Linked DNA regions of Xenopus tropicalis. The protein of the gene in region 1 purifies or fractionates together with the protein of each later gene. This does not show direct contact. Links are inferred from orthologs where the notes say so. Each region holds a gene or a part of one and is shown in the gene's direction. Other genes may lie near its edges. The genes, in order: ppp2r2b, myo9a, ier5, ppp2cb, sertad4, ppp2ca and ecsit.

Region 1 (4,129 bases):
CCTTTACAGCACTGGAGGGGGTCTGGGGGCACATCGCTAGTGTAGAACAAATTTCTGTTTTTAAAAAAATGGAAATTTGAATCTTAACTTAACCAGGAGTGTTTTTTTGCCATATTGACCTTATTTACTGCAATACAGAAAAACATTTCTGGCATAAATTAAAAAAAAAAGAAAAAATGGCATTCAAACAGTTGTGAATTTGTCATTGAAGGCTCGTACTCGTGAGCGTTGCTTTCTCAGATGGCGTTCTCCTGTGCTCCACCGCAGAGAGTCACAGGAAGAAACGCATCCCATTTTTTTTAGTGGGTCTGAACTAACACAGGCGCAGGTAAGTGCTGGATGCAAGGGAAGCACAATTTGGATGTGCCTGTGTCAGAATCCTAAACTCCACAAGAGGTTTTGTATGGTGTCAGATCAAAAGAAGGGGAGTAATAGAAAAATCTGATGTGTAAACTACATGAAAGATTTGCCATCCAACATGACGTGCCTGTCAGAAGGGAATTCTGCATTCTGCGTCTTCATCCAATAAAATCTGATGTGTCTGACAGACTTTTTTTCTCATTAAAATACATTGTGTGTCGGATGTAGATGCAGGAACAAAACATACCATCTGACTTTATCTGATCCAACTTTACACTACAGCCTATGGAGATCAGATTTTGTGGTTTGCGTGGTGTTGCATGACAAGATCAGATTAAATCTGACCCACAAAATCTCCCGTGGAGTTTAGCCCCTACTCCCAGAATCCAGAGCAACAGGATTAAACCACAAAACTGGAGTCATTTAAATTTAGAGGCTAAACCCATAGCAATCAGTCCGTAATTAGTACTGATTGGTCAGCTGCATAAAGACTAATGAAAGAAATGTTCTTAGCAGTTGCTGTGAGTGACAGCTCAGAATAAAGTTTATACTTGGTTTAGGGTTTTTCAGATGTAGGCATACTCCCCACAGCATATCCCTTTAATACAGTGCCACCTTAAGAGGAATTGTTCTTTGTGTGCGGGTTGAGGGCCTTAAGCATACTGCACACCTATTTTTAGAGGAATAAGAGTAATAACCTTAAGGTGGGACTGCATATGATTCAGCATATCCCTGTACACCATCAGGGCAATACCCCTGCTAGCTGCTGATTGGTTGAATTTCTTATACATGCCCCATGTAAAGGGGACATTGAAAGGAATATATTCAATGTTGGGCTACACAGATTTTAGCAGAAACCTGTAGTAAGCATTTTCCTATGATGATAGTTAAATTCATGACTACTAGCAAATCAAATTTCAGATACTCCCATTCTTTGGCATAGATTGGTCCAATCAGTGGCCACAACTGTGGCCTACCCACCCTACTGCAGTGAGATCAGTAAACTGGTGTTATGAAGTTGCACACTGTGATTTTCTTAGAGTGTTGCTAACAGCATATTATATGCAGCCATAGTTTGATAAATACCTGAGACTAAACTGTTCCAAGCAAACTTCAGCTGCATTGGGGTGAAAAATCCAGTTTTACACACCAGGAATTTAAAGATTAATGACTTTGCCCCCGCAAGGCATATATATTTATTGAGCAGCATCTTGCTGTCCTGAGGTTTTTGCTGTTTAACACAGATATCCATTTAATAAATGCCCTGTTCTATAGAAGACAGTGTGGGATCTTGCAACACCAGGTACAGTGTTATGATCCCTGAACTGCAGGAATCTATTGTGTTTTCTGAAGAGGCCCGCCATTGCAATGGAAAGTACACACGCAGGCAGAGAAAGAGTTCAGGTAAGTAGCCATCTTCTTTGCGTGGCCCATGTGACTGGTCCTTTTTATGGCACATTGGGTAACTACAGGTTGCCAAATTGGTTTTATTCTTTATATGACATTTTTTCTTGCTGGCCTACACAACTTTATTTATTCATGAAACTAAATGTAGACAGTGTTGTGGTGAACTGAATTTTCTATAACTCCTGCTTTAAGCAGCTATAGAGCTGGTCAGGCTTCCGGCTGTATATTACCTCTGTTCTGTACCATTAAGTGGCTGTACCACTTAAAAGGTGGTCATGTGAATACAATTTATGCCAACATCTCTTTATAAATAGCTGTGTTGGTGCACTGAATATTTGGCTGTCCTGTACTTAATATCAGTCGGACTGGGGAGGTCTTGATCCCACCAGGGCTGCCACCTCAGTCCCCCCACCCCAGTTGTGTGGTCATTGTCAAGACCTCCAAAGAAATATGCAATGGCACAAACCCCCCTCCCTCCATTGTGTGTACATTGTAGTCCCTGATGCAGCAGAGATCTGGAGGGGAGATCAGAGGGAAGTGGATCTGTGTTTGGAGGGGAAGCCAGGGCCCACCGGGTTTTTTTCCCAGTGTCACATCAGCCCAGTCCAGCTCTGTTTGTAATTAGGTCTTAAAAATCAGTGCAGTGTGAATCAGGCATATGTAATGATTAGCCATGCAACATGGGAATAATGTTTTATAGTGAGCCCTTAACAGATTATATATAATGCAGACTAACCTGTACCTGTAAGACTAACATACATATCGATAAATTCTACACATTTAGTGGGGAATTTCACATACGTTTAATTTTTTTTGCATAATAAAGCTTTCTAAGGATTTTCCAAACACACATGAAACATTTTTAGTGTTCAGTTATTTGTAATTGTGACCAGTGTTTGTATCGTTCTATTTTCTACACTGCTGTAAAGGGTAAATAAAAACAGGTATAGGATCTATTATTCAGTATGACTGGGACCTGGGGTTTAGTTCTGCATATCTTAAACCTGCTGAAATTAATTTAAACATTACATACACCCTATAGGATTTTTTTGTCCCAGATTTGGATTCATGCAGCTTAGTTGCCATTAAGTACAAGGTACTGTTTATTATATACTTTTCTTTATAGCAAATCCTTTAACATATAGTCTTCAGTTTATTTCTAGAAATGTTTAGTTCTATGTCTGGGTATAGATTATTCTGTACAAAGAGTCTTGTATACCCACATTTGTTTTAATATGGGTGGTAGCTAACATACTTCATGTTTGTTTGAGGCAAATTGGTTTATTTCTAAAGGCTTCAAACAGTGGTCCCCCCCCCACTCCCCAATGGTCAAATTATGAATAAGGTTAAAACACTTGGCTGGATTAACCAAGCAAAGCATTTTTCAGAAACAGGAGCTATTGCTTTCTGCATTACAGCTGTAAGTCTTGGTTGAAAATGTGCTGTAAATGAATACTGTTCAGAAATGATTACAAAGTTCTCCTGGTGCCAAGATTTATGATGCATTCCTCTAACCCAAATCTTTACTAACAGTTTACATGCATGGGGCTTGAAAACCTGTGCTTAGTCTAACTAGATGGCACTAAAAATATTAAAATATCTCTTTAATCTTAAAATACATAATATGAGAGCTTTATTTTATTGTTCATATAAACTTTTAATGAGACAGAAGCTAACCTAAGTGAGCCATGGGCAGAACTACCATTTGGGCTACAGCTGCAGGAGCCCAGGGACCTCAGGCACTTTTTAGGGCTCTGGCACACGGGGAGATTAGTCGCCCGCGACAAAACTCCCTGTTCGCGGGCGACTAATCTCCCGCAGTTGCCGCCAGTTGCCATCCCACCGGCGACAATGTAAGTCGCCGGTGGGATGGCACACGCGGCGGCACGATTTCGGGAAATCGGCAAAGTTGCCTCGCGAGGCTTTTTTGGCGATTTCCCGAAATCGCGCCGCCGCGTGTGCCATCCTACTGGCGACTTACATTGTCGCCGGTGGGATGGCAACTGGCGGCAACTTGGGGAGATTAGTCGCCCGCGAACAGGGAGTTTTGTCGCGGGCGACTAATCTCCCCGTGTGCCAGAGCCCTTAGGCTTCAATTACTCCTAAAGGTGGAAATATTCAAATGTCTCCAGTAATGTTTAGTTATGTAGACCAAAGATAGGCAAATCGTAACCCTATCATTGAAATGCTATTTTCTGGATCTTGCCACTAGCCAAAGGCAGTCGGGAGTGCAGAGAAAAGTTGTCTAGTGACATCTGAAGGTTACCAATGACACTGGTGCCAAGGAATATTTCTTCACATAGGCCTCCCACCATCTTTTTCAGCAAGTGAGGAAAAAGTAGTGATCACATCAAAATAGTCG
Region 2 (4,093 bases), about 52 Mb from region 1:
TACATGCATTAGCAAAAATACAAGGGTACCCACATATTTGCACAGCCAGGTTTTCACATTTGATTTAATTTCATACAACTAAATACTGCTTCACTAAAAACCTAACTAAAAACACCACAGTACTCAGATGTTCTTGGGAAACGAAAGGCACACCACTGTTATTGTTTTTGTTAAAAGTGGAGTAAATTATTATGCAGGCTGAGAGGGGTTCCCAAACTTTTTCATATGACTGTATATCACTACCCACTAACTACAAACATGCCGCATGGGTAAATTCTATCACCAATTCCTGGAAATTTTTTCTGTGGGCAAAACCACAAATTTTGCCACATAACTGTACTGAGCAAAATAACTCACTCCTACATACATACTTATCACTAGTGCCCAAGGTAAAGGCGCTCATACATATACTGATATTATTATTGTACAGTGAATTAACTAGGCAACAGATATCGGCAAAAGCCTTGGCTATCACTCGTTTTGTTGATCGGCCAGGGTGTAAAGGTTCCAAACACTGGCAGTAGGTTAATGCTGAATATTCAGATAGGGGTAGCATTCTATTGCTTCTACCTGCATAATTGAGTTACATTTTAGTATGATATAGAGAGAGCAGTTCTGAGATTATTTTATTATTGGAGGTTTTTTAATTATTTTACTTTTTATTCCTCAGCTCTTCAGTTTGGAATTTCAGCAGCTATCTGGTTGCTGGGGTCCAATTTACCTTAGGAACCAGGGAGTGAGAGAGAGAGAGAGAGAGAGAGTGACTGATATAGGAACAGTAGAGGGGCTGAAGAGAAAGGTAAGTAAGAAAAAGTAACAATAAAATTGTAGCCTCACTGAGAAATTGTTTTTTGGCTGCCGGGGTCAGTGATCCCCATATTAAAGCTGGAAAGAGGCAAAAGAAGGCAGCAAATAATTCAGAAAACTATAAAAGATAAAAAAATAAAGAACAATTGAAATGTTGCTTAGAATTTGCAATTCTTTAACATATTAAAAGTTAACTCAAAAGTGAACTACCCCTCTAATGTTAGCCTCAGACTAGTTGCTCCATAGCACAAACATAGGTATATGGGTGGAGGTAAAGGAAGGATTATCAAAGTAAGTATGTGAAGGCCAGACAAGAATTAGACCCCTGCCCAAGGATTTGCAGGGGTTCACAGACCCCCTGACCCCACTGCTCATTCTTTGCCTTATTATACACCATAAGGCTACATCTTGTGCATTGGGAGCTTAATTGTGGCAGCTGCTCTGAAATCATTAAGGCCTCTGCTTTCCATTTGCCGCATTTCTCATCCCGCAATGAGGATCTTGTGTGTGTGCCCAGAGGATGTGGCTCTGCAGAAGGCGGCATGTGGGTACCTTGCCTGTCTCTCACCCTAATCTAATAGATGTACGGGGCCCTCTCTAAGCCCAGTCTGTCTCTCCCAAGCAGTTCTGTCTCTTTCTGTAGTAAATCTCTGTGTCTCTCTCCCTTGAACACGCCTGTCTGGGCTGCTCCCTCCCCCCTCCTGTCTCTCTCTCTCCACCCTGCAGTCACATCCTGCAGTCTCTGCCTCTCCATCTGCTGTCTTGTGGGCTCTCTTCCTGCTGGGAATTACAGCGATCTGTACGGAATCTCTCCGGCCCCGGCCCGTGTGAGCTGTCATTGCCCCTGAGCCAGGATTGTACATCGGGCTATCTCTCCGCTGCTGCCTCACGTCACCGGATTTATCAACCTGACTGGCGATTTCCTAGCTAATTTCTGCCGATTTTCAGCTCCAAGGCCTAAATGTGACTGTCCCGGGTTTCTGTACGTGTCCTTTCTGGATCTGTAGCTGGAACTGTGTCTTGGACCTTCATGCCGAGTCTTGGGCACTGAGCTGTCTCTTGCGGTCTCTGGATGTCTCTCACTGTTGTCAGAAGGCCTGAAATCGCCGGGGGCCGAGATAAGGGTAAGTGACACTTCGGAGCTCCATAGAACACTTCCTAGTTTAAACCGCGGCCCTCCAGCTTCTCTTTAACTAAGATCCTGGTTATCGGCTGTATGGGGATGCTGGGAGTTTTAGTCCAAAGCAAGTGTGGAGTCGCAGGATATTATCCCACTGACATACACCCTGTATATAAGCACACACTAAGCTCAGCTAGTCAGGGCAGAGGGGTGCAGTTGTACTGTGGACCCCAAGATCAGTGTTTATTACGGTAGGTGAGTGGTGCCCATCATGTGCCATTAGTCCTTTATAGCCCAGGTAATGTAGCCTTACTTCATGGCCTTGCTGTGCCTGTATAGAGACAGTGGGCTTACTCCCATCAAATATGACATTCTAGACAGAGTTCTGCAGCATACTCTTTCTCTACACTTACACTTTTCTGGGACCCTCTTCCTTCTTGTTATATAGGCCAGTATGGGTAAACCCTGACCTTCCAGCTATTGTTTAATGTAACATTAAACAATGTGACATTTTCCAAGAAGACAACTGAGAGTTGTAGTCCAACCACCACTGGGCAGGCCATATTGGATCACACTATTTGTTTCTGAAGACCAGATGCCCATCTTCTCCCTCCCCACACCTACTATGCCCCGACAGCTGCGAAAGAACCATTGTGACCTGTTGTCTGTCATTCATGGGACACTGGGGGTTTGCAGGGACATTAAGTAATGAGTAATGATGCTGTCAGTATTCTCGGTATTTGTGGTATGTCTGTAAGTATTTTGGATATGTAAGATACTGTGAGAATGCAACAAGAGCGAATGTGTGTATAAAATCCCTGTAAAAGTCATTAGGCTCATCCATTTAATGCTTTATTTGCTCTAGTTTCCCATAGCTCCAAGCACTGCTGATTCTTACATTTCCTTACATATCACATACAAATCAATCAATTTGAATATCTGTACAAAAGATCTGATTTATGTGGTGTCACATAACATCCATTGCAGTGTATAGATTGTCTCAGTTTAAAGCTTACTTTTTACGCCCTCTATTCACAGACTGCTCTATGGCCATATATTTGAATGCTTAAACATTCTTTGCTGTAATGTTTCCACCTTGTCTCTTATCTCTTTTACAACTGCGCTGTTTTGGTCCACTAGCTCTTTGAAGGTTATTTCTCTGTTCAGTCTCCTAACAACCTAATGTTACTTTACATAGGAGTGGACAAAATGCTAAATAGTTAGGAGCCAACCAGTCTATTCTAGTAGCCAAACACAATGTTAGCAGGAGTCTGTTAAATAGTGTAAGTCCATGAACCTTATGTGTTCATTGAACGCAATGTTAATGCTAGAGGAGCAAGGGTTGTATTGTTGGCTGCTTTGACTGTGGTACATTGTATGTCACGCCAATGCCACCTTATTGCTTTTGTAGCTATATATATATTATACAGGTAAAGGATCTGTTAGCCTGAATGCTTGGGGCCTGGGGTTTTTCCTGTAAAGGTATTTTTTCCCACAATTAGAATCACTATTTCTCAAGTCTATTAAAAAAATAAATAAAAATAAACATGAAATAAACTGAAATTGGTGTTTTGCAATTGTTATGGATTTATGCAGCTTATTTACCATCAAGTTTCAGGTACTGTATTAATATTGTTACACAGGAAAAGACGGTTCTTACCTTTCCTTTAAGGAGTGGCCCTGCCTATAACATAAACTGCATATCCACTTAGCTGTAGTTTCTGTTCATCCATTCAGTTATCCACGTAATTTCTCATACAGTATGTCTAAATGTAAATTAGATCTGTGCAGCTTTCTTTCTATGTGTATCCATAATCTAAGTTACAGCATTCTGATTCCCGGAAGCTTGGGTTTGATTCATTTGGCTTCTCTTTCTGACCTTGGACAGTTACTTAGTCTTCCCACTCCTTAAGCCTCAGGTTAGATTCAATCTACAGTGCAGGGAATCCTGGAACCTAAATATCTATGTGTACTATTGCTGTATATCAGTGATCCCCAACCAGTGGTTCGTGAGCAACATGGCTTGGAGGCAAGTTTTGGTTGCATAAAACCCAGTGTAAAGCTAAACAGAGCTTTCTATAAGCTGACAGTCCACATAGGGGCTACCAAATAGTCAATTATAGCTCTTATTTGCACCCCCAGGAACTTTTTTTATGCTTGTGTTGC
Region 3 (4,281 bases), on another chromosome or scaffold:
TCCCACTTCTAATGGGGCTCCCAGCCATCCTGCATTGGTAACCTCTCTCTAAATTAGGCTGTTCCTTTTGTAGGAGCAGACCTAGAAGATTTCAAATTCAGGAAGCAAGTGACACAATGCAGTTGTAGAATTATTAAGCTCTGGGGGAAGGTGTGTGAATGCTGCATAATTGTAAACATTAAACTTGAATGAATCCTTTTTTGTAAAGAACTAAAATATTCAAATGTTCAAGTTATTTTGACTTTCTTTATAATTACAGTTTCACATTCATTTCTCTAACCTGTCAGCCAACAATGTCCCTTTTTAGCCTTTTTGTCAAATTAGATCATAGAATCCTGTATTGGGGTGGAAATTTTAAGCATCTGAAAGACTGAACGTTTTAAATAAAGGCTTTATCGCAAATATCACACTGGTGGCCTTTAATGCAGAGAATGATGTGCATTATCAGCTGACACTTACCAGTCACTGCAAAGAAACAGCGAGTGTGGCCTTGAAGACTAAAGGCCTGCAATATCCCAAATAATTGGCTCAGAGCTGCCAAGGTAATGTAGATGCCCATGCCCCCATTTGACCTCAAACCACCCCCCCCTAATTCTATGTCAATGTCACAGGTATATAAAAATGTAATAATATCAGAACCAGGTAAATAATATCAGCAAATAAGTGTTTCCTCACCCTATCTGACCTTTAGGCTGGACGTTCACCCCAAATCCCACTGTAACTGGCATGGTCACTGGCAAGTCAAAGAAATCACAGGACCGGCTAGCCTTGCTCTCACGGGTGTTTGGTACGAACCAACTATAAAACATATATGACTCCTTTCCGCAGCTCCCGCAAAACTGCAACTACCCGTAAGACTGCTGGAAAACCGACAAGCTACAAGCTGGAATAGTAATGGTGGGGGAGGCAGACTCAAAGCAGCCAGCATTCGACCTCACAGCCCATCACGTGACTGAGCCTGAACACTTACAGAAGCATTACATCAGCCTGGGAGCCGCCACCAAAACACTGCCTGCGTTAAAGGGGCAATGCCTCCATCATAGCATACTTTAGCGCTCCTGTGACTATATACACTTCAGTACCTCAGTATGAAACTACTAATCGTCAGATCGCGATAATAAATCGGGATACTTTATATGTGCTTATAGCAGCCACGGCAAATACTAATTAAGACACAGTCTAGGGACGTAAACGCTAACAAGGCAATGCCGCTTTAAGGAGATTCTACGCGGGTAGCCTTTCGAATCCAGGCGGTTAATGCTGTGCTCGCCAATTGGTAGTTTTTCATGTGTCGCACAAAATGCTAGACAGCCAAGATCTGTGTTGGAGACGGCTCATTGGGACCGCCTGATTGGCTAATGGGAGTATGACGTAAGTCGTATATAAGGAGACTGTGGGAGCGCGCCCGCGCTTAGTTGCAGTTGGTTTTTGGGACGGGTGGGTCACGCAGCTTTGTGTTCCCAATTTAACCGCCCTCAAGGGAAACCGGCAGGTTGGCACATTTGTGACGAAGCGGAGAAAAAGCAGGAATCCTGCATTTTTGAAAATGCACCGGGAAGCACCAGAGCAGCAGCAACACGATCCTGGGAATGTGGAAACTTCACCCGGGTTCGGCTTTCGCCTTGAAGCTCACCGCATCGTGAGTATCTCGCTGGGAAAGATCTACCATTCCCGGGTGCAGCGCGGTGGCATCAAACTGCACAAGAACCTGATGGTGTCCCTGGTACTCCGCAGCGCCCAGCAGGTCTATCTGAGCCAAAGCCCGGAGGAGTTACAGCAGGAGTATTACCAGAGGCAGGCACCGCTCCATAATCCGCCGCCGCCACAGCAGGACTGCAAGGAGCCTGAGCCATATTCATGTACAGGGGACGCTCAGTGCCCCAGTATGGTGAGCCCTGAGCAGACAGATGCCCGGACATGTACCTGCCCCACAGCAAGCCACTCTTGCAGCCCAGACGACACAGCGAACCCCCGTGGGGTGCCCTGTTGCCAGGGACATGGGACTGAAAACTGCCGAGCCCACTCCGCGTCCCAGCATAAAGCAGATCACTGCCCGAGCCGTGAGCCAGAGCCCAGCAGCCCGGATCCCCCGAGTAGTTGCTGTCGGAAGAGAAGCGGAGGGAACCCGCCCGATGGGCCGGCCATGAAGCGAGCTAAGAGGGAGCAAGGAGAGCAGGAGGTGCCAGAGCCAGGGGACGAGGCGGAGGAACAGATGGAGACAGAGAACGTGGCAAACCTCATCAGCATCTTCGGCTCCAGTTTCTCGGGACTTCTGAGCAAGGAGCCTGGGGCAGAGGGGGCCGAGGAGCCCACACAGGACGTGCAGGAGTTGGACTCTGCGGGCCCAGCCGGACAGGGATGCAGTGAAAGGGCGATCAGCCCGAGTATGACCTCCTGGAGCACGGCAATCGAAGCCTTTTGAGCCATCCCATAACGGGAGCGTTCAGCCTGCGGCCCCCCACTTCGTGCACTAAGCAAACTAGTGGTGGTGTGTGGTTCAGCAAGAGCTGGGGGGGCGCAGGCTGGGATCTCCTGTATAGACTGAACTGACACTGCTGGCACAGAGCACACTATATGGATTGTTTTATATAGAATGGATCGTGATGGTGCAGGGTTGGACTGACCTCCAGTAAGGATTTGTGTTACCCATGTCCTCATATGTCTGGATGCCTTTCTTCCTACATCTGCCTAGTTTTGTGTGTGGATTGGTGGGCGAAGTTTGCTATGTTGGTAAAGCACTTAGAGTAGAGATCTTACAACCAGCACTTCTCCAGCTTCTGTTGAACTACAACTTTTAGCATTGGCTTTCTAGAGAGGCTGGGAGTTGTAGTCCACAACAGCTTATTTTTTTTCTCTGGTTGAAGATCCCTAGCTTAAAGGGGTGCCACGTGTACAGTTTACTTAACCTATTCATTACCAGAAGACACACTGTATGAACCATCTCACCAGGGACTTGGGGCACTCCTGGGATAACCATGATTTTCTGTTTCTGTAAGTTGAATTACTTTCAGATAACTGGATCTCGTGGGAAGATTAGGGGTGTGACAAGTCCCACCTAGCACCGGAGGTACATTAAGGTCAAGAATTTGATCAACACTAATTCAATGAATCGTTTGCTGTTTCACTGTAAGCTTTTTTTTTCAATTGGGGGTGGTATTTCCCTGGGGCATTATTCACCAGTCCTTAAACAGCCCCTCCCCCACTTCGAAAAGAATGTCTCCCAACCCCCACCACTATGGTCACCACGTGCTAGGGGAGTTCCCCACTTGGGGAGAGGGAGGGAAGTTCCCATCTGTTCACACTGCTCTTTTCCTACCTATTGTGTTATATAGCCCCTCCAGTCATTTCAAAACTACTGCTTCCTGTTTCATGTCCTGACTTGAGGCAAATGCCAAATCAGTGTTCAAACTGCTTGTTTGGCCCCCATATAACCACACACACCCACACTCTTTGATTAATTTAGTTTTTTGTCACTTGTTTGAGTTCATAAGCAAGCATTTTCCTAGAGCCTTGCATAATTGGTTTTCTAACACTTTACAATCCATAACATGTAAAAGTGTCTTATTCACTTTTTAGTTTTGAGCACACACAGTTCATGGTGCTACCCTCATCAAGCCGCCCACCATCCTTTGACTTTATATTCTTTAAGCATGGAGAAATGACTGATGTATCTTTGTAAACTTACTGAGGAGGAAGGAAAAACCCTTTACGTGTATTTTGTCTGCTGAAAGTGCTTGTCAGGCTTGGTGCTCCTGTGCTCAATCCAGCCCTGCGTGCTCAGTCAGATCTCTCTTTGTTTTAGAAGATGAGTTATTCTGGCTGGATGTGATTTAAACAATGGTTTACAGTATTTTTATGCACAATGCTGTAACTGACTTCTGTATACTATGATGTTTCTACGTGTCTGACACGTATTAAATATTTTGAAACGTTTCAGAACATCTCTCATTATTTTTAAAACATGAACTGCTTGAAATATATGAGTTCCAATTGGTGGGCTTGGGGTCAAAGTGCTACTGATCTTTTGCTAAATCTGAAACACCTCTGCAATCTACTTGTTTGAGATTAGACCAAGCTAAAATACTTTGCAGTAGCTGTGTTTTTTAATGCCATGTTGGTAAATGAGCAATGTGCCATGGATCTAAACTGGTTAAATATAATTGTGGTGGTACAATGGCTACACACAGTTTTATTTGTGTTAAATCATAAGCAATTAATACAGGGCAATTGCAGCTGTGTTTTGTTGCTCATACTTCAGGGTTGGTCACCTTATTACCAATG
Region 4 (4,224 bases), on another chromosome or scaffold:
GATGTCTAACATAATCGCCAGAACACTTCTTCCTGCTTTCAGCTCTCTAACCTCTTAGTGACTTTAGAAGGGGGAGGGCACAAGGGACATAACAGTTCAGTTAGTTTGTGAGCACACAGGATAGCTTCAAATGCAAACTAACTAAACAGTATGTCCCATATACACCCCTTGAAGTCACTGATTGGTTACTGACTGCTAACAGCTTAAAGAAGAAGGAAAGGCTAAGTCACTTGGGGGTGCCAAAATGTTAGGCACCCCCAAGTGACTTAGATCGCTTACCTTCTACCCCGGGCTGGTGCCCCTGTATGGAGAAAACAGCACCAGCCCGGGGTAGCAGCGAGCGATTCCTCCCTCGCTGCGCAGTAGAGTGAAAAGCCGAACTTTAACAGAGAAGTCGGCTTTTTCACTCTACTGCGCAAGCGCCGGACTCTGAGTCCAGGGGAAAGGGAGGCGGAAGGGGGAAGTGCATTGCCCCAGGTGCCCTGGGCTGGTGCAGTTTTCTCCTAACAGGGGCACCAGCCAGGGGTACGAGGTAAGCGATTCAAGCCACTTGGGGGTGCCTAACATTTTAGCACCCCCAAGTGACTTAGCCTTTCCTTCCCCTTTAAAGAGCTGTGTTCTGGCCATTATATCAGACATCTGCCCACTCCAGTATGTATAGATTACATTTTGCCTAACTATATTGCAAACATTTTTTATTTTGGGCAGTCTCTTTTACCCAGTTCCACTTTTACACAGAACCGCTGCTCACTATGCGAATGTGTCCCCCAACACTAAACTATTCAACTCCTAAAATTATCAGAGGCAGATATTTTGCACCCCTGGTACCATGAAAAACACCTTTACAAAACGCATTATAATATTAGACAGCTTTATATTATAAGGAAATCGAGCTATATTTATGCATCTATGTCAAGTTGCATGTACACGTACCGCAACTATACGTTTCCAGTTTTATAGCAATGGGGTGTCAAACACGAACACATCTGCCTTTCCGCTGTCACTTTCACTATACTCTACTCCACCCGTTTCTACCCACAACAACCCAAATAAAGATCATTGAGAAAAAAAAAAAACGAAAAAAAACTTTTTCTGCAGGTGGGGGCTTCCTTGCGCATGCGCGCATCCCTCCGCCTCTCAGTCTGACGTTGCGTGTCTCCGTGCACGCTTCTGTAGTTTACGGGCGCGGGCACGCTCTGTCGCTGTGCAGGTTATGCCTTGTGTCGCGCATGTACATTTCAGTCTGCCATTCGTTGTCTCTGTGCGTTTTATCAGCTCCACCCCCTCTCGGCGCGCTCCCGCAAGTACGGGGGTGAAATTGAATGAGGAGGAGGAAAGCTACAACGACATAGTCGCGTTTCGGCCTCCTCCTTTTGACAGGCAATACCTTAACATAAGCCTTATTAATACGTGAATATTTCCGTCCGGTCATCACCGGCCGTAGCCTCGCACGAAGTTGGGGGGTGGGAGGCGTAGGCCGTGCTAGTGAATGTGTGACAGGAGAGGGGGCAGAGAGGAGGGGTAGCAGACCGATCGGCACAGTGCGGAATTTCGTGTATGTTTGTAGCGTGTGTTACCGTGGAATAGTGTGGTTGTCTGGAAGTTTCTGGCATGGAGGACAAGACGTTTACTAAAGAACTGGACCAGTGGATCGAGCAGCTCAATGACTGCAAGCAACTCAACGAGAGCCAAGTGCGCACCCTGTGCGAGAAGGTGAGACCGGCCCTGTGCAGCAACGTCTGTAAACACTCAGCCCCACATACATAGGTGTATAGCACTCCCAGCATGATACCGTCATGATCTCGTAGGGGGAATACATGCTACGCACAGAAACATACACACGCCTGTAAGGGGCCTCGCTTGTTCATACAGGCACGTCCACACAGCAAATAAACATACATCAGGGGATTTACTGTGTAGGATTCTGATCTTGAAAATTGTATTTAGTTCCCTTTTGATTGGCAGCTGTTGGTTCCAGTTTCTAAGACCCCCTGCTTATTTGAATGTATTAGTGTATGTATTTATATCTTTATTTAGCAAGCACTACTTATGTGCGCAGCGCTGTACAGTAGAATACATTAATACAAACAGGGGGTTATTAAGATAATAATAGATAAGTTTAAAGTATAACAATAAATACAAGATACAATTGCAATAAGTTAAGGGTCAAAGAGACAAAAGGATGGAGGTCTCTGCCCCGTAGAGCTTACAATAGTGGCATTAGTATTCATTTATTTTCAGAATACAATTTGACATGTGGAATTATCTTAAAATGTTCCTTTAACATATATGTGTATTGTAGCTAATTACTATTCAGAGTGAGATTTTATAATTTGATGGGTGCCTTGAACACAGCCAGTGTTCCTTTCTCAGGGATTTATTTTCTAAATTAAACGGGCAACAATGTACCCCTATCATCTTTGCTAATAATCATAGGGTTGGCAGAGTGCATTGATGTGACTTTATGATGTAATAACAGGCACAAAGTTTGCTAAAGCATCTTTAAATCCATAACATTTAATCAACTGTTTGCTCTCAAACAGCAGATTACAAAATACAAACAGATGGATTGCAAAAACTGGAGGAAACTTTTCACCTGTAATGCAAGTGTTTCCTTGTAGGGAAAATCACTACAGTTAAGTGATTCTTGCAGCTAAATGCTGTTTAAGGACTACAGCACACAGAGCTACTTGTAGCGGCTACAAAGCCCCAGAAAATACTTTGCCATAGACAGTACTGAGAACCATCTTTGCTAAAACACACGTAGAGACAATTATCAGTACTATTTTGTAGCTGGTGCAATTAGCTCCATGTGTCATTGCACTAAAGGTACAAATATAAAGTTAATTTTTGATGAGTACCTTTCTTTAATCCTTTGAGAGCTTGATACTTATGATGTAGCCAGACTGTTTTCAGTAAACACGTGTCACCTCTCTTAATACTGTTGAATACTTGTGGTGACAGGTGGACCTATGCGCAAAGCTTTTGCTTGAGTGTATTGGGCCAGTGTGTCTCTGTTACCTCTTCATGTCCATCTGATATGGCACTTTATGTTCAGTAGTAACATTATGGGTGATAGGACTATGGCCTTTTCTTTACGCGTTGTGTGCCATTAATCTAAGCATATTTTCATTTACCTATCTTTTTTTTTTTAAATAGCTTTTGATTTATCAGAATCCTTATTTTATTCCCCCAGCCTTCAACTGAAAATACTGTTTGGTTGTCAGGGTTTCCTGATCCTGACAACCATTAAACTGATTGACTGACTGTAAGTCCTCAGATGTGTTGCTGTTTTTATTTTCATTGCACATCATTCTAATGGGACACTTTACTGTTCATCTTCATTTTGAGTTTCTCTTTTGTGTCTGGTTGTTAGGCCAATTAAGTCCTACCATCCTCATATCAGTTGAAATTCCAAGCTGCCAAGAAAAAAAAAAGAAGGCTGATTAATAATTGTTATAGAATGCTACCATCTATACCATATGTGGAACTAATTTTAGGATGAACTACTCCTTTAAGTTTGGGTTCTTTAATGGTGCTGTGCTACAGTTAACAGCATCGTTCAACATAAAATCAAGCATCCAGACATAATGGGAAATGAAATGTGTGTCCATCTAAGGAAATAGGACTATAGTACTTCACAACATACAATAATAACTATATCTAACTGTATATATAACTAGGCTAAATGTAAAATAAACCAAACAGTAAAACTTTGAAGGGTAAGGTCAGCTAAAAGAAGCCATACATCCTCCACTGTAAATTAAATTTACAGTGGCCTTTCACTTTAGTAATAAATAGCGCATGACTTTTGAGCACCTTTTAATCCATTTCACCCTAACTTTTCTGTTTGTTAACTCTCAATTTCCTTTGCTGAAGAAGGTAATATTTTATTTATTTTACTCCCCCTTTTAAAGAAGAAAATAAATAAAGCCCTAACTCATTACAGCTAGAAATACTTTATTTTATAAACCAATCATACAGTAGAAGCCCTACAATAGTAATGACCCATTCTTTCAAAGTTGTCCACAGCAGCTCATAAATTTTGATCACTAGACCACTTTGTGCTTGCCAGTGACTCGCCACAGGCTAATTTTTCATGTCATTAAAATTATTGAACAGAAAGTGATATTACATTTATTATAGAAGCTGAAGCTACTGGGATGATCATTTGCGATCCAAAATGCACTGGTTAGTGTGAGGTGATGTAATGTGATTTTGACT
Region 5 (4,204 bases), on another chromosome or scaffold:
TCAACTATCTATCATCTATCTATCATCTATCCTGTTAATCTATTATCTATATATTCTGTCAATCTATCTATCAACTATCTATCTTATCTATCTATCTATCTATCTATCTATCTATCTATCTATCTGTCTATCTATCATCTATCTATCTATCTATCTATCTATCTATCTATCATCTATCCTGTTAATCTATTATCTATATATTCTGTCAATCTATCTATCAACTATCTATCTTATCTATTTATCTATCTATCTATCTATCTATCTATCTATCTATCTATCATCTATCTTAACTATCTATCTATCAACTATCTATCTATCTATCTATCTATCTATCTATCATCTATCTATCTATTTATCCATCTATCTATTTATCTATCTATCAACTATCTATTTATCTATCTATCTATCTATCTATCTATTTATCTATCAACTATCTAATCTATCTATCATCTATATATTCTGTCAATCAATCTATCATCTATCTATCTATCTATCTATCTATCTATCATCAACTATCTATCTATCTATCTATCATCAACTATCTATCTATCTATCTATCTATCTATCAACTATCTATCTATCTATCATCTATCTATCTATCTATCTATCTATCTATCATCAACTATCTATCTATCTATCTATCTATCTATCTATCTATCTATCAACTATCTATCTATCTATCAACTATCTATCTATCTATCTATCTATTTATCTATCAACTATCTAATCTATCTATCATCTATATATTCTGTCAATCAATCTATCATCTATCTATCTATCTATCATCAACTATCTATCTATCTATCTATCTATCTATCTATCTATCTATCATCAACTATCTATCTATCTATCTATCTATCTATCTATCAACTATCTATCTATCATCTATCTATCTATCTATCTATCTATCTATCTATCTATCATCAACTATCTATCTATCTATCTATCATCAACTATCTATCTATCTATCTATCTATCTATCTATCTATCTATCTATCAACTATCTATCTATCTATCAACTATCTATCTATCTATCTATCTATCTATCTATCTATCTATCAACTATCTATCTATCTATCTATCTATCTATCAATCAACTATCTATCTATCAACTATCTATCTGTCTGTCTGTCTGTCTGTCTATCTATCTATCTATCTATCTATCTATCATCTATCTATCTATCTATCTATCTATCTATCTATCTATCTATCTAACCATATACTATATGTATAAATATACACAGGCACACACACATATATATGTTTATACCATACAGTGTGACCCCAATTGCAGGACTGGTCAGAGTGCTGTCCCTTTAAGCAGTGCAGCAGCAGGAGTCGCGGCCAGCCGGAGTCGCAGCGGGCAGTTGGAGTCGCAGGGCCGGTGGGAGGGGGCAGAGAGGGAGCGCAGACAGGCGCTTGTCACATTCCCTCCCTCACCCCCGGGGCAGGCTGGCGAGTCTCCTGTGCGATCCGGAGGGAAATGTAGAACAGGACGGACCGGTTTCGCTCTCAGCCCCGCACTCTCCCTGCCTGTTGGGAGCCTCTCCGAGCAGCTCTGAGCCGGGGGAACCTCTGCCTTACTCCGCTACAGCAGCCCGGGAACCTCTGTACAGCGACACTGCCCGGGAATCGCACCTCTGCTCTCCTGTACAGCGACACTGCCCTGGAATCGCACATCTGCTAACCTATACAGCGACACTGCCCGGGAATCGCACCTCTGCTATCCTATACAGCGACACTGCCCGGGAATCGCACCTCTGCTATCCTATACAGCGACACTGCCCGGGAATCGCACCTCTGCTATCCTATACAGCGACACTGCCCGGGAATCGCACCTCTGCTCTCCTGTACAGCGACACTGCCCTGGAATCGCACATCTGCTAACCTATACAGCGACACTGCCCGGGAATCGCACCTCTGCTATCCTATACAGCGACACTGCCCGGGAATCGCACCTCTGCTATCCTATACAGCGACACTGCCCGGGAATCGCACCTCTGCTATCCTATACAGCGACACTGCCCGGGAATCGCACCTCTGCTCTCCTGTACAGCGACACTGCCCTGGAATCGCACATCTGCTAACCTATACAGCGACACTGCCCGGGAATCGCACCTCTGCTATCCTGTACAGCGACACTGCCGCGGAATCGCTGTCAACCTGTGTTGCGACTGTGCGGCGACTTGTCTCCTAGCTGGCGCGGTGACCCTGCGGGACGCAGTACCGGGAGTAAGGCGCAAGGTAGGGGCATTTATTGGGGAGTTGGGCTTTACATGGTTATATGTACACATGTGGGGGCACCTCTCCCCCCCCCCAAGCCGCTGTAGAACTAGCGATGTGGGTGCAAGGGATGGGCGCACCTTGGCCATTGACTTATATTGCCCCTGTTTGTGGTTTAGAAAAAAAGTTGCCCCTCATGCCCCAGGGTTATGCCCCAATGTGCCCTTATTATAAAACTTAGTGCCAATCTATTTCCCTAGTGGGGCCCCTAATACTGTATTGAGGGTTCTGTAAGGGCCCAATGGGGCTCTCAGGGGATTCTGGGAGTAGGAACGCATTGGAATGGTACAGGCTGATCAAACACACATTACTGTGGGGAAAGTCTGGTATAGATTTGGCACAATCTCATAAACCCCCCCCAGGAAGTTTTGTTTTGGGGGGGGGTCAATATGTTGGGCAAACAACGTATTATTGGGGTGCAACTAAAGAGCAAGGAGACTCTTGGGTGTCCAGAAGGTATAGGGTGCCCAGCGCGGGACTGACAGAAGCAGTTTGTGTGACTTGGGGCCCTACAGTGGTATATCTGTGGGGCCCAATAATGTGTAGTTGTATCCTGTAACCCCCAGCCGGGCACAGGGCACCCACAGAAACTTATTATACACCCTATGAGGTTTTGGGCACTTGGTGTCTTTGTAAATACTGGCAGTGCCAGTCTGTGCCCCCTGTACTTGTGCCCAGTGTACCCCCCCCCGGCACAGGCCAAGGCACTAGGGTGCCACAGAGAGTGTCAGCAGGCAGTGAAGGGGTTACGCGCAGCTTCTTGGGGATCTGGCTGCTGTTTGGAATAGTAATTGTCTGTTAAGGGAACCATATGACTGTAGCAGCAGGGGATCATGTCTGTGCCTGTGAGATCAGGTCAGAAAACAGCCGCGGGCAAACAGACAGTTTCAGTCTGTTCCCAGCAAGAATGTACGTGCGCTGCCAGCGGGGTCACTGTGGGTCGGGCACAGAGGGCTGTATGGGGCACAGAGGGCTGGATGGGGCACGGAGGGCTGGATGGGTCAGGGGCATGGAGGGCTGTATGGGGCACGCAGGGCTGGCTGGGGTACGGAGGGCTGTATGGGGCACGGAGGTCTGGATGGGGCACGGAGGGCTGTATGGGGTACGGAGGGCTGTATGGGGTACGGAGGGCTGTATGGGGCACGGAGAGCTGTATGGGGCACGGAGGGCTGTATGGGGCACGGAGAGCTGTATGGGGCACGGAGGTCTGGATGGGGCACGGAGGGCTGTATGGGGCACGGAGGGCTGTATGGGGCACGGAGGGCTGTATGGGGCACGGAGGGCTGTTTGGGGCACGGAGGGCTGTATGGGGCACGGAGGGCTGTATGGGGCACGGAGGGCTGTATGGGGCACGGAGGGCTGTATGGGGCACGGAGGGCTGGATAGGGCACGGAGGGCTGTATGGGGCACGGAGGGCTGTATGGGGCACGGAGGTCTGGATAGGGCACGGAGGGCTGTATGGGGCACGGAGGGCTGTATGGGGCACGGAGGGCTGTATGGGGCACGGAGGGCTGTATGGGGCACGGAGGTCTGGATGGGGCACGGAGGGCTGGATAGGGCACGGAGGGCTGTATGGGGCACGGAGGGCTGTATGGGGCACGGAGGGCTGTATGGGGCACGGAGGTCTGGATGGGGCACGGAGGGCTGGATAGGGCACGGAGGGCTGTATGGGGCACGGAGGGCTGTATGGGGCACGGAGGGCTGTATGGGGCACGGAGGTCTGGATGGGGCAGGGGCACGGAGGTCTGGATGGGGCAGGGGCACGGAGGGCTGGATGGGGCAGGGGCACGGAGGGCTGGATGGGGCAGGGGCACGGAGGGCTGGATTGGGCAGGGGCACGGAGGGCTGGATGGGGCACGGAGGTCTGGATGGGGCAGGGGCACAGAGGGCTGGATAGGGCAGGGGCACGGAGGGCTGGATG
Region 6 (4,291 bases), about 14 Mb from region 1:
GTAAACTTTTTAAAAATGTTTTTTCTCTGGTAAGTTTACTGACCCAGGCATTTTTGTCTTGCAATCTAGTATGCTGATTTCTGGTGCTTTGAAAATTCACTTTACTGTAGGTCAGTGGTTCTCAACCTGTGGGTCGGGACTATTTCACAGGGGTCGCCAAGACCATCGGAAAACACACATTTCAAATGGTCCTAGGAATAATTTTATGGTTGGGGGTCACCACAACATGAGGAACTGTATGAAAGGGTCGCGGCATTAGGAAGCTTGAGAATCATTGGTGTAGTAGATGTTTAACACATACACATAAGGAAACCCCATAAAACTATACACACTCTAGTCAGGTTACCACCTTACTGGTATTTTACCGTAAAATACCCTACACTGTGTCGATATCAGGCTTTCCAAATGAGTTGTATTATTTTTACTTGCAAAATAGGTTTGATTCCTCTAGATATGAAATTATTAGTCAATTAACAACGCAACGCTTTGTTTGCAGATTTGGAAGAAAGAAACGCTTTAATTGTATAGAGCAGGGGTAGGGAACCTACGGCTCGGGAGCCAGATGTGGCTCTTGATGGCTGCATCTGGCTCCCTGCCAAATCTTTAATAAAAAAAAATAATGTGGAGCGTGGCCTGCGCTTAGCGGATAGAAGACATGTTCTATGCCTTAGAACACATCTTCTATCCGCCAAGCGCAGGCCACGCCCTCCTCCGCGTCCGGCATCCTTACCAGGTTGCACTTGAACCAGGGCCCAGGGAACGGAGAGGGACATTGGAGCAGAAACCTGTCACGCTTGAATTGAAAATAAAATGTGACCAGTATGTCTCTGTTGGGGCTACAAAGAGAAGCCAACTGTGCACTGTGCTAGGTAGCCCTCTAGTTATACCACTAACAAGCCATATTGAACAGCTAAAGATGACACCCACCCTACCTTGCCCCACAGCATCCGCGGCCTTCGGCCTAGCTCCCGTTGGCCATTGTATGGCTCTCACGGAATTACATTTTAAAATATGTGGTGTTTATGGCTCTCTCAGTCAATAAGGTTCCCGACCCCTGGTATAGAGACCTAAGAATATGATTATAATATATAATAATTAAATCAATAGCTATTGCTTCGATTTTGTCTGTGTGTGTCACTGGGCCTGCAATAAACCATCCACCCTCCAGGCTTTTCTCTCAATGACTGCACTTGAGCGCTATCATTTATCGCCACGCCCATGCGACTAGACTCGGATCCATAAGGGCGTGGGGATGAGCGCAGCTTCCGATGACATCTCTAGGAAGTGACGTACGGCGAAGAAGCAAAGGAACTGGCTGAGGAGGAGGTGTGGAGCCATAAAGGAGAGGTTCGTGACGTCACGGCGGCCATTATACTGTACAGTACACTCTGAGAAAGAAGGAGCCGTAGCTGCAAAATTACAGCGGACTGTCTGATAACGTTATTTCTTTATTACCTCTACTAGCTCTGTACCTCTTACGAGGCGCTTTGAAGCCCTCTGGACTGTGTCCGTTTAGATACTGTCGCCTGAGATCCCGGCACTCCCCTGGGTTCCGTATTTTATTCAACTGACGGTCCCCACCCCTGCCAGCAGCGGTCGACTTGTTGGTTTTCTGACGCCATTCATTGGCTCTTGGTCCCTCCGAGGGCATACCCGGTGACTGCCTCCCTAGGCCGCCGGTCTTTTCCTTAGACAGCCATGGATGAAAAGGCGTTCACGAAGGAGTTGGATCAGTGGATCGAGCAGCTGAATGAGTGCAAGCAGCTATCGGAGAACCAGGTCAAGACTCTGTGCGAGAAGGTACGGGTGGCGCAATGGCAACTTTAAATAGACTGCTGGTAGCAGCCGTGATTATTTTAGAACTATACATATATATTAGCCTGCTGTGGAGCTACAGCCATCAATAGTAGTAGGTAGTTCCTAACGTCATATCGGTTTGTGGGCAGTAACATGGAGCGCACGTAGGTCTTGCGGGGGAGATCATTATTCCGTATTGGGGAACGCATTATTCCGTATGGAGGCCGTATCTTTCGCTATTACGGGTTGCTATACACTTTATACAACATGTAGGCTGGTTGGTAGACACATGAAACGTACTATATATGTCTATCGCCCTAATATATGTGGGAAGGCGTGTTACGGACACCGGGGGGCTAGCGTACAGGGGCTATAGTATCTGTAGTGTTTGCTGTACAGCAGCGCCCATGTGTGAGCTGCACTCGGCACGTCCCACTCCCGGCGAGAGGCTCTGTGGGCGCAGGCTCGGGCTGCTAAGCTCATGGCGCCTTTTGTCGTTCATAAGATGGCGGCTGCTCCACCCCCCGCAGGAATGCGCATGCACGCCAGGACGTGTCACTACTAGTGCGCGCCTCGGCCGGCGGCGCGCTCCCATTTGCTTGGAATGTTACAGGGAATGCAGGGGTCATGGGGATTCTTGGTACAGTGAACGTTGTGCTTTACGGCTCCTTGTAGTAAAGTAAGGCCATATTCTGCCAGAACCACGGGCTAACGTAATCCTGATCTATGGCTTGTTGGGAAAATGTGTTGGTGGAGATGCCACAGTCCAAAAGAGTGGTGGGAATTCCTTGTGTGCTGCTGTATAGGTTGGCCAGCCACTGAGCTAGGTAACATTCATTTGAACATCTCTCATTAAAATGAATAGATGCAGAGCTTTCTATTTATAATCACATATAAGTGGCAGTACAATAAATAGGTATATATATCAAACATGCAGATTTACATACAAAGCAGCCAATCACTGACACAAGAGGTAAAGAGGGCCCTGCCCAATAGAGCTTGCAATCTAAAAGGAGTTCACAGGGTTGGCGGTGGTATGCTTTTTGATGTTTTTCTATTTACGCCCAGGGATTATAAGAATGATGTTGTCCCTTGTGGTCCCTCCTGATGTAGCTAGCTGCGGTTAGTACCAGATTCAGCTGATGTTGGGCCGCAGGACAGTGATTGAGTACATTGGCCAATATTGTGGTGCAATCATGCTCCAGTGTGTTTTCCATGGCCATAGTTGTAGCTAGCTGCATCTAATAGGGCGGGCCACACAGTTACTCACTCTGGTAAATTATGTACAAGGTATGGCAACTTTGCCAAGAATCTCCGAAGCTCATGTAAAACGTGCAATTTTATGAAAACAGCACTGCTAGGAAGTGCATACAAATATTTTAGAATTGTTCAGAAATCTATAAATAAAAGTCAATTTTCTTAGTGCCAGGACTATAAACTTAAGGCTGAAGTGTCTATCAAAGGATTCTTAAAGTTTGATTCTGCTCCTATGAGCCTTTTTTGAGCTCACATTCATTTTCTGCTCTATGCCAGCCATTTTTAAGGCTGTACAAGAAGCGGGTTGTTCATGTGGGCCTTTCAGCTGTTGCTTAAGTAGAAAAATGCAGCCAAACCAATTGGTGTTACAGCTGGGATACAGAGAGGCTACTTATAGGCATGCTGTGAGAAATCCATTGTTAGCTGGCCAATAACCTGTGATTGCTTTTTGCCGGCATGGTCCATTTGGTACTAGGGATGCACAGTATTGGCAAAGGGACAGAGAAGCTCAAAGTAGACCCTTTCTGTGGAGAAGTGTGGCTTATTGACTGTATGGGCAGTGCTGCTTTTACCTCCATCAGCTTAATTAAATCCCCCTCTGTCCAAAAGTCATGTCTATTCGCAGATTTACAACAGTGTTGTGTAGTGTGCAGAAAGATCTGCCTGCCTGGGATGTACAATGCAGCTGCATTGCTTAGAGAAGTCTCTACCACTGCACCACGGGAAAGGCAATAATAAGTGTTTGTCACTGTTTTCCACATAAAGCAATCTTTTCTTTTCTCATCACGTGACGGTTATTCAAGCAAATGTAGCTGCAACTCTTTCTTTTTCAAGCCTTCTCTAGCTAAAAACTGACAGACTATGCATAGTACATGGATATGGGGCAGGATTAATGGGCCTCCATACTCGCAATTCCTTAATTAAAAGGATATCTTCATGTAAGAAACTTTACTATGAAATATAAAATAACTATAAACCGCTTTCAAATATACATAAATTGCAGCTTTTAGTGGTTTTATTTTTTTTTAACTGCAATTGTTATTAAATTTAAATATAGTTTCTCTTTCATTGTCTGCATGAATGGATACACATGCTTCTCCATTACATTTACAAGTAACTTTAAAATATAAAACGGTGGTTTTAATAAATAAGCAACTAGGACGATAAAGCGTCATAAGGGCAGAGGCCAAATTAATGATGAATAACTGGGTAAGCCTGTTAGTGCTGTCTAGAGTGT
Region 7 (4,224 bases), about 99 Mb from region 1:
GTGAGTGACAGTGAGGCATACTGACAGGAAGGAGTGTGAGTGACAGTGAGAGATACTGACAGGAGGGAGTGTGAGTGACAGTGAGAGATACTGACAGGAGGGAGTGTGAGTGACAGTGAGGGATACTGACAGGAGGGAGTGTGAGTGACAGTGAGAGATACTGACAGGAGGGAGTGTGAGTGACAGTGAGAGATACTGACAGGAGGGAGTGTGAGTGACAGGAGGGAGTGTGAGTGACAGTGAGAGATACTGACAGGAGGGAGTGTGAGTGACAGTGAGGGATACTGACAGGAGGGAGTGTGAGTGACAGGAGGGAGTGTGAGTGACAGGAGGGAGTGTGAGTGACAGGAGGGAGTGTGAGTGACAGTGAGAGATACTGACAGGAGGGAGTGTGAGTGACAGTGAGGGATACTGACAGGAGGGAGTGTGAGTGACAGTGAGGGATACTGACAGGAGGGAGTGTGAGTGACAGTGAGGGATACTGACAGGAGGGAGTGTGAGTGACAGGAGGGAGTGTGAGTGACAGTGAGAGATACTGACAGGAGGGAGTGTGAGTGACAGTGAGGGATACTGACAGGAGGGAGTGTGAGTGACAGTGATGGATACTGACAGGAGGGAGTGTGAGTGACAGTGAGAGATACTGACAGGAGGGAGTGTGAGTGACAGTGAGAGATACTGACAGGAGGGAGTGTGAGTGACAGTGAGGGATACTGACAGGAGGGAGTGTGAGTGACAGTGAGGGATACTGACAGGAGGGAGTGTGAGTGACAGTGAGAGATACTGACAGGAGGGAGTGTGAGTGACAGTGAGAGATACTGACAGGAGGGAGTGTGAGTGACAGTGAGAGATACTGACAGGAGGGAGTGTGAGTGACAGGAGGGAGTGTGAGTGACAGTGAGAGATACTGAAAGGAGGGAGTGTGAGTGACAGTGAGGGATACTGACAGGAGGGAGTGTGAGTGACAGGAGGGAGTGTGAGTGACAGGAGGGAGTGTGAGTGACAGTGAGGGATACTGACAGGAGGGAGTGTGAGTGACAGGAGGGAGTGTGAGTGACAGGAGGGAGTGTGAGTGACAGTGAGGGATACTGACAGGAGGGAGTGTGAGTGACAGTGAGGGAGTGAGTAAGGGAATACATGGGGGACAGCAGCTGGAGAGTGTAAGAGGATGAAGAGTGAAGACAACACGTTACAGTGCCCGGAACCATCTCACTCAGTCTTCTGTTCCCGCCCGGCTCGGAAGGCAGGCTCCTTGACGTCACTCAATTCCTCCAAGATGGCGGCGCCCAGTCGGCTGCAGTGACACTGAAGCTTGTAGGTAGGTGTATATATGTCGGTATGTATGTAGGAATACCGGGATAAGTGTTTGTGGTGTACTGCTCAGTGAGCGGAGCCCTCCAGCTACAGCCATACAAGGCGCCCCGGTGCCCCTGCCCATACACACAGGCCCACTGGCTGAGCGGTACCGTACTGCCGGACCGTATAGTACAGATCCCCGTACTGCCAGCTGGGGTTAGTAGTGAACAAATATATTTCTGTAATTGGAAATGAATTATGACCCGGGTGCATTTATAAAGAATAATGAATATATTTCGAAAGCATAAATACAATAATATAAATGTCTGTGCCCATCTCCCACCTATAGCCTGTGCCCATCTCCCACCTATAGCCTGTGCCCATCTCCCACCTATAGCCTGTGCCCATCTCCCACCTATAGCCTGTGCCCATCTCCCACCTATAGCCTGTGCCCATCTCCCACCTATAGCCTGTGCCCATCTCCCACCTATAGCCTGTGCCCATCTCCCACCTATAGCCTGTGCCCATCTCCCACCTATAGCCTGTGCCCATCTCCCACCTATAGCCTGTGCCCATCTCCCACCTATAGCCTGTGCCCATCTCCCACCTATAGCCTGTGCCCATCTCCCACCTATAGCCTGTGCCCATCTCCCACCTATAGCCTGTGCCCATCTCCCACCTATAGCCTGTGCCCATCTCCCACCTATAGCCTGTGCCCATCTCCCACCTATAGCCTGTGCCCATCTCCCACCTATAGCCTGTGCCCATCTCCCACCTATAGCCTGTGCCCATCTCCCACCTATAGCCTGTGCCCATCTCCCACCTATAGCCTGTGCCCATCTCCCACCTATAGCCTGTGCCCATCTCCCACCTATAGCCTGTGCCCATCTCCCACCTATAGCCTGTGCCCATCTCCCACCTATAGCCTGTGCCCATCTCCCACCTATAGCCTGTGCCCATCTCCCACCTATAGCCTGTGCCAGTCTGGCTCTGTCTCCTACCAACCATGTGATTGCCCTGAGCACTAGGAACCCACATGGGCGGCACCACTGGTACAACTGTAGGGGCATGGCTGGCCTTTGGGGTGCACCATAAAGAAGGAGGGGTGCCAGGGTGTCCATTATATATTTATTTATTTATTTTATGAAGCAGCATCAAGCCGTCAGGATGAGAACCTTGCGCTTCCTGATTTCTGCCCGTCATCTGTGTGCCCGGGGCAGAGGCATACCAGCAGGCCAGGCTCTTGGCACCGGCAATAACGCCCAGGTAAGCGCAGCGCCGACACGTTTCCACTTATACGTGGAATATTCCATTCTCTCCTGTCCCCTCTCATAGTCAGACTTTCCCTTTAATCTCGGGCGTGTACCCTCCTTCAGTTACAGACAGGGCACACTGGCTACCTAGTGGGCAACAATTTAGAGAAATGGAGGGCACTCCTGGCTAGAATATCCTTGCCAGGAGTTATTATATATACAAAAAATAAGTATAAAGTATCCAGGTGCTAGGGTTTTAATAATCCCCCCATAAGAGGACTATACACATCCACAAAAACCCTGCACACCAGAATAAACTTTCCCAGGGAGGTATTTATAATTAAAAAAAACATTTTATTCATTTAAACAAAGGCGTTTGAGCGGAAACGTTGGGGTATTCTCTCATCCAGATTATCTGCCTTCATATCTTGTTTTTCAGTTATTACACTGGGGGTATGTATTTATTTGCTTTTTGATGGATATACAATTTTTAAGGTTGATACTTTTTTCTGTATCATGTTTAAATGAATAAAATGTTTTTTTTTAATTATAAATACCTCCCTGGGGAAGTTTTTTCTGGTGTGCAGGGTTTTTGTGGGGTTTTGTACCTAGTGGGCAACCACTGCATATTGTCACCTGAGTAATAGAACTTCCCTGGAAGCTTAATCAGAAATGTTATCCTGTGCATGTCGTCTTCCAGAAACAGGTGACCTGCTGTCTTCACACATCTCCGCCTCCTGGGCCTCCCCAAGCCACTTCCTCAGCCGGCTCGGTTACTCCATACGAGGATGTGTTCCAGAGGGAGCAGAGGAACAAAGCCTCCTTTGTGGAGGTCCTTGATCTTTACTGCAACCGAGATGTGAGGAGGAGAGGACATGTGGAGATCATAGAGGCGGCTCTTAGATGGATGACGGAGTTTGGGGTGGAAAAGGACTTGGAGGTTTATAATAAATTGCTTGACGTGTTTCCCAAGGAGGTCTTTGTCCCCCAAAATTACATCCAGAGGATGTTCAACCACTACCCACGCCAGCAGGAGTGCGCCATAAGGGTGCTAGAGCAGATGGAGAATTACGGTAAAGAGCCTACTACTTACTACACTACTTACTATGGGCCAAGGAGGGGGCTATGGGACATGGAGTCTGTCCCTCCCACTGCAGGGTGATACAGTGACACAGACAGGAGGGGGCTATGGGACACGGAGTCTGTCCCTCCCACTGCAGGGTGATACAGTGACACAGACAGGAGGGAGCTATGGGACATGGAGTCTGTCCCTCCCGCTGCAGGGTGATACAGTGACACAGACAGGAGGGGGCTATGGGACATGTCTGCCCCTCCCACTGCAGGGTGATACAGTGACACAGACAGGAGGGAGCTATGGAACACGGAGTCTGTCCCTCCCACTGCAGGGTGATACAGTGACACAGACAGGAGGGGGCTATGGGACACTGAGTCTGTCCCTCCCACTGCAGGGTGATACAGTGACACAGACAGGAGGGAGCTATGGGACATGGAGTCTGTCCCTCCCGCTGCAGGGTGATACAGTGACACAGACAGGAGGGGGCTATGGGACATGTCTGCCCCTCCCACTGCAGGGTGATACAGTGACACAGACAGGAGGGAGCTATGGGACACGGAGTCTGCCCCTCCCACTGCAGGGTGATACAGTGACACAGACAGG

The links.
Region 2: the proteins of ppp2r2b (region 1) and myo9a purify together in Homo sapiens (affinity purification with mass spectrometry; 4 studies listed by BioGRID and IntAct, with this or other methods). This does not show direct contact. The link is inferred for Xenopus tropicalis from reciprocal best matches to the Homo sapiens genes PPP2R2B and MYO9A.
Region 3: the proteins of ppp2r2b (region 1) and ier5 purify together in Homo sapiens (affinity purification with mass spectrometry; 4 studies listed by BioGRID and IntAct, with this or other methods). This does not show direct contact. The link is inferred for Xenopus tropicalis from reciprocal best matches to the Homo sapiens genes PPP2R2B and IER5.
Region 4: the proteins of ppp2r2b (region 1) and ppp2cb purify together in Homo sapiens (affinity purification with mass spectrometry; 5 studies listed by BioGRID and IntAct, with this or other methods). This does not show direct contact. The link is inferred for Xenopus tropicalis from reciprocal best matches to the Homo sapiens genes PPP2R2B and PPP2CB.
Region 5: the proteins of ppp2r2b (region 1) and sertad4 purify together in Homo sapiens (co-immunoprecipitation; 3 studies listed by BioGRID and IntAct, with this or other methods). This does not show direct contact. The link is inferred for Xenopus tropicalis from reciprocal best matches to the Homo sapiens genes PPP2R2B and SERTAD4.
Region 6: the proteins of ppp2r2b (region 1) and ppp2ca purify together in Homo sapiens (affinity purification with mass spectrometry; 4 studies listed by BioGRID and IntAct, with this or other methods). This does not show direct contact. The link is inferred for Xenopus tropicalis from reciprocal best matches to the Homo sapiens genes PPP2R2B and PPP2CA.
Region 7: the proteins of ppp2r2b (region 1) and ecsit purify together in Homo sapiens (affinity purification with mass spectrometry; 3 studies listed by BioGRID and IntAct, with this or other methods). This does not show direct contact. The link is inferred for Xenopus tropicalis from reciprocal best matches to the Homo sapiens genes PPP2R2B and ECSIT.

The regions. Positions count from the first base shown.
Region 1 is NC_030679.2:40,230,882-40,235,010, reverse strand, and holds the start of ppp2r2b (serine/threonine-protein phosphatase 2A 55 kDa regulatory subunit B beta isoform), read left to right. Parts: upstream 1-1,241; 5' UTR 1,242-1,673; coding exon 1,674-1,764; intron 1,765-4,129. UniProt on the Homo sapiens protein: The B regulatory subunit might modulate substrate selectivity and catalytic activity, and might also direct the localization of the catalytic enzyme to a particular subcellular compartment.
Region 2 is NC_030679.2:92,035,310-92,039,402, reverse strand, and holds the start of myo9a (unconventional myosin-IXa), read left to right. Parts: upstream 1-1,293; 5' UTR 1,294-1,931; intron 1,932-4,093. UniProt on the Homo sapiens protein: Myosins are actin-based motor molecules with ATPase activity. Unconventional myosins serve in intracellular movements. Regulates Rho by stimulating it's GTPase activity in neurons.
Region 3 is NC_030680.2:100,835,147-100,839,427, reverse strand, and holds ier5 (immediate early response gene 5 protein), read left to right. Parts: upstream 1-1,438; 5' UTR 1,439-1,546; coding exon 1,547-2,422; 3' UTR 2,423-3,933; downstream 3,934-4,281. UniProt on the Homo sapiens protein: Plays a role as a transcription factor. Mediates positive transcriptional regulation of several chaperone genes during the heat shock response in a HSF1-dependent manner. Mediates negative transcriptional regulation of CDC25B expression.
Region 4 is NC_030677.2:97,482,254-97,486,477, reverse strand, and holds the start of ppp2cb (serine/threonine-protein phosphatase 2A catalytic subunit beta isoform), read left to right. Parts: upstream 1-1,404; 5' UTR 1,405-1,611; coding exon 1,612-1,713; intron 1,714-4,224.
Region 5 is NC_030681.2:15,444,117-15,448,320, forward strand, and holds the start of sertad4 (SERTA domain-containing protein 4), read left to right. Parts: upstream 1-1,390; 5' UTR 1,391-2,244; intron 2,245-4,204.
Region 6 is NC_030679.2:26,543,058-26,547,348, forward strand, and holds the start of ppp2ca (serine/threonine-protein phosphatase 2A catalytic subunit alpha isoform), read left to right. Parts: upstream 1-1,400; 5' UTR 1,401-1,698; coding exon 1,699-1,800; intron 1,801-4,291. UniProt on the Homo sapiens protein: Catalytic subunit of protein phosphatase 2A (PP2A), a serine/threonine phosphatase involved in the regulation of a wide variety of enzymes, signal transduction pathways, and cellular events.
Region 7 is NC_030679.2:139,307,385-139,311,608, reverse strand, and holds the start of ecsit (evolutionarily conserved signaling intermediate in Toll pathway, mitochondrial precursor), read left to right. Parts: upstream 1-1,302; 5' UTR 1,303-1,315; intron 1,316-2,442; 5' UTR 2,443-2,460; coding exon 2,461-2,559; intron 2,560-3,246; coding exon 3,247-3,619; intron 3,620-4,224.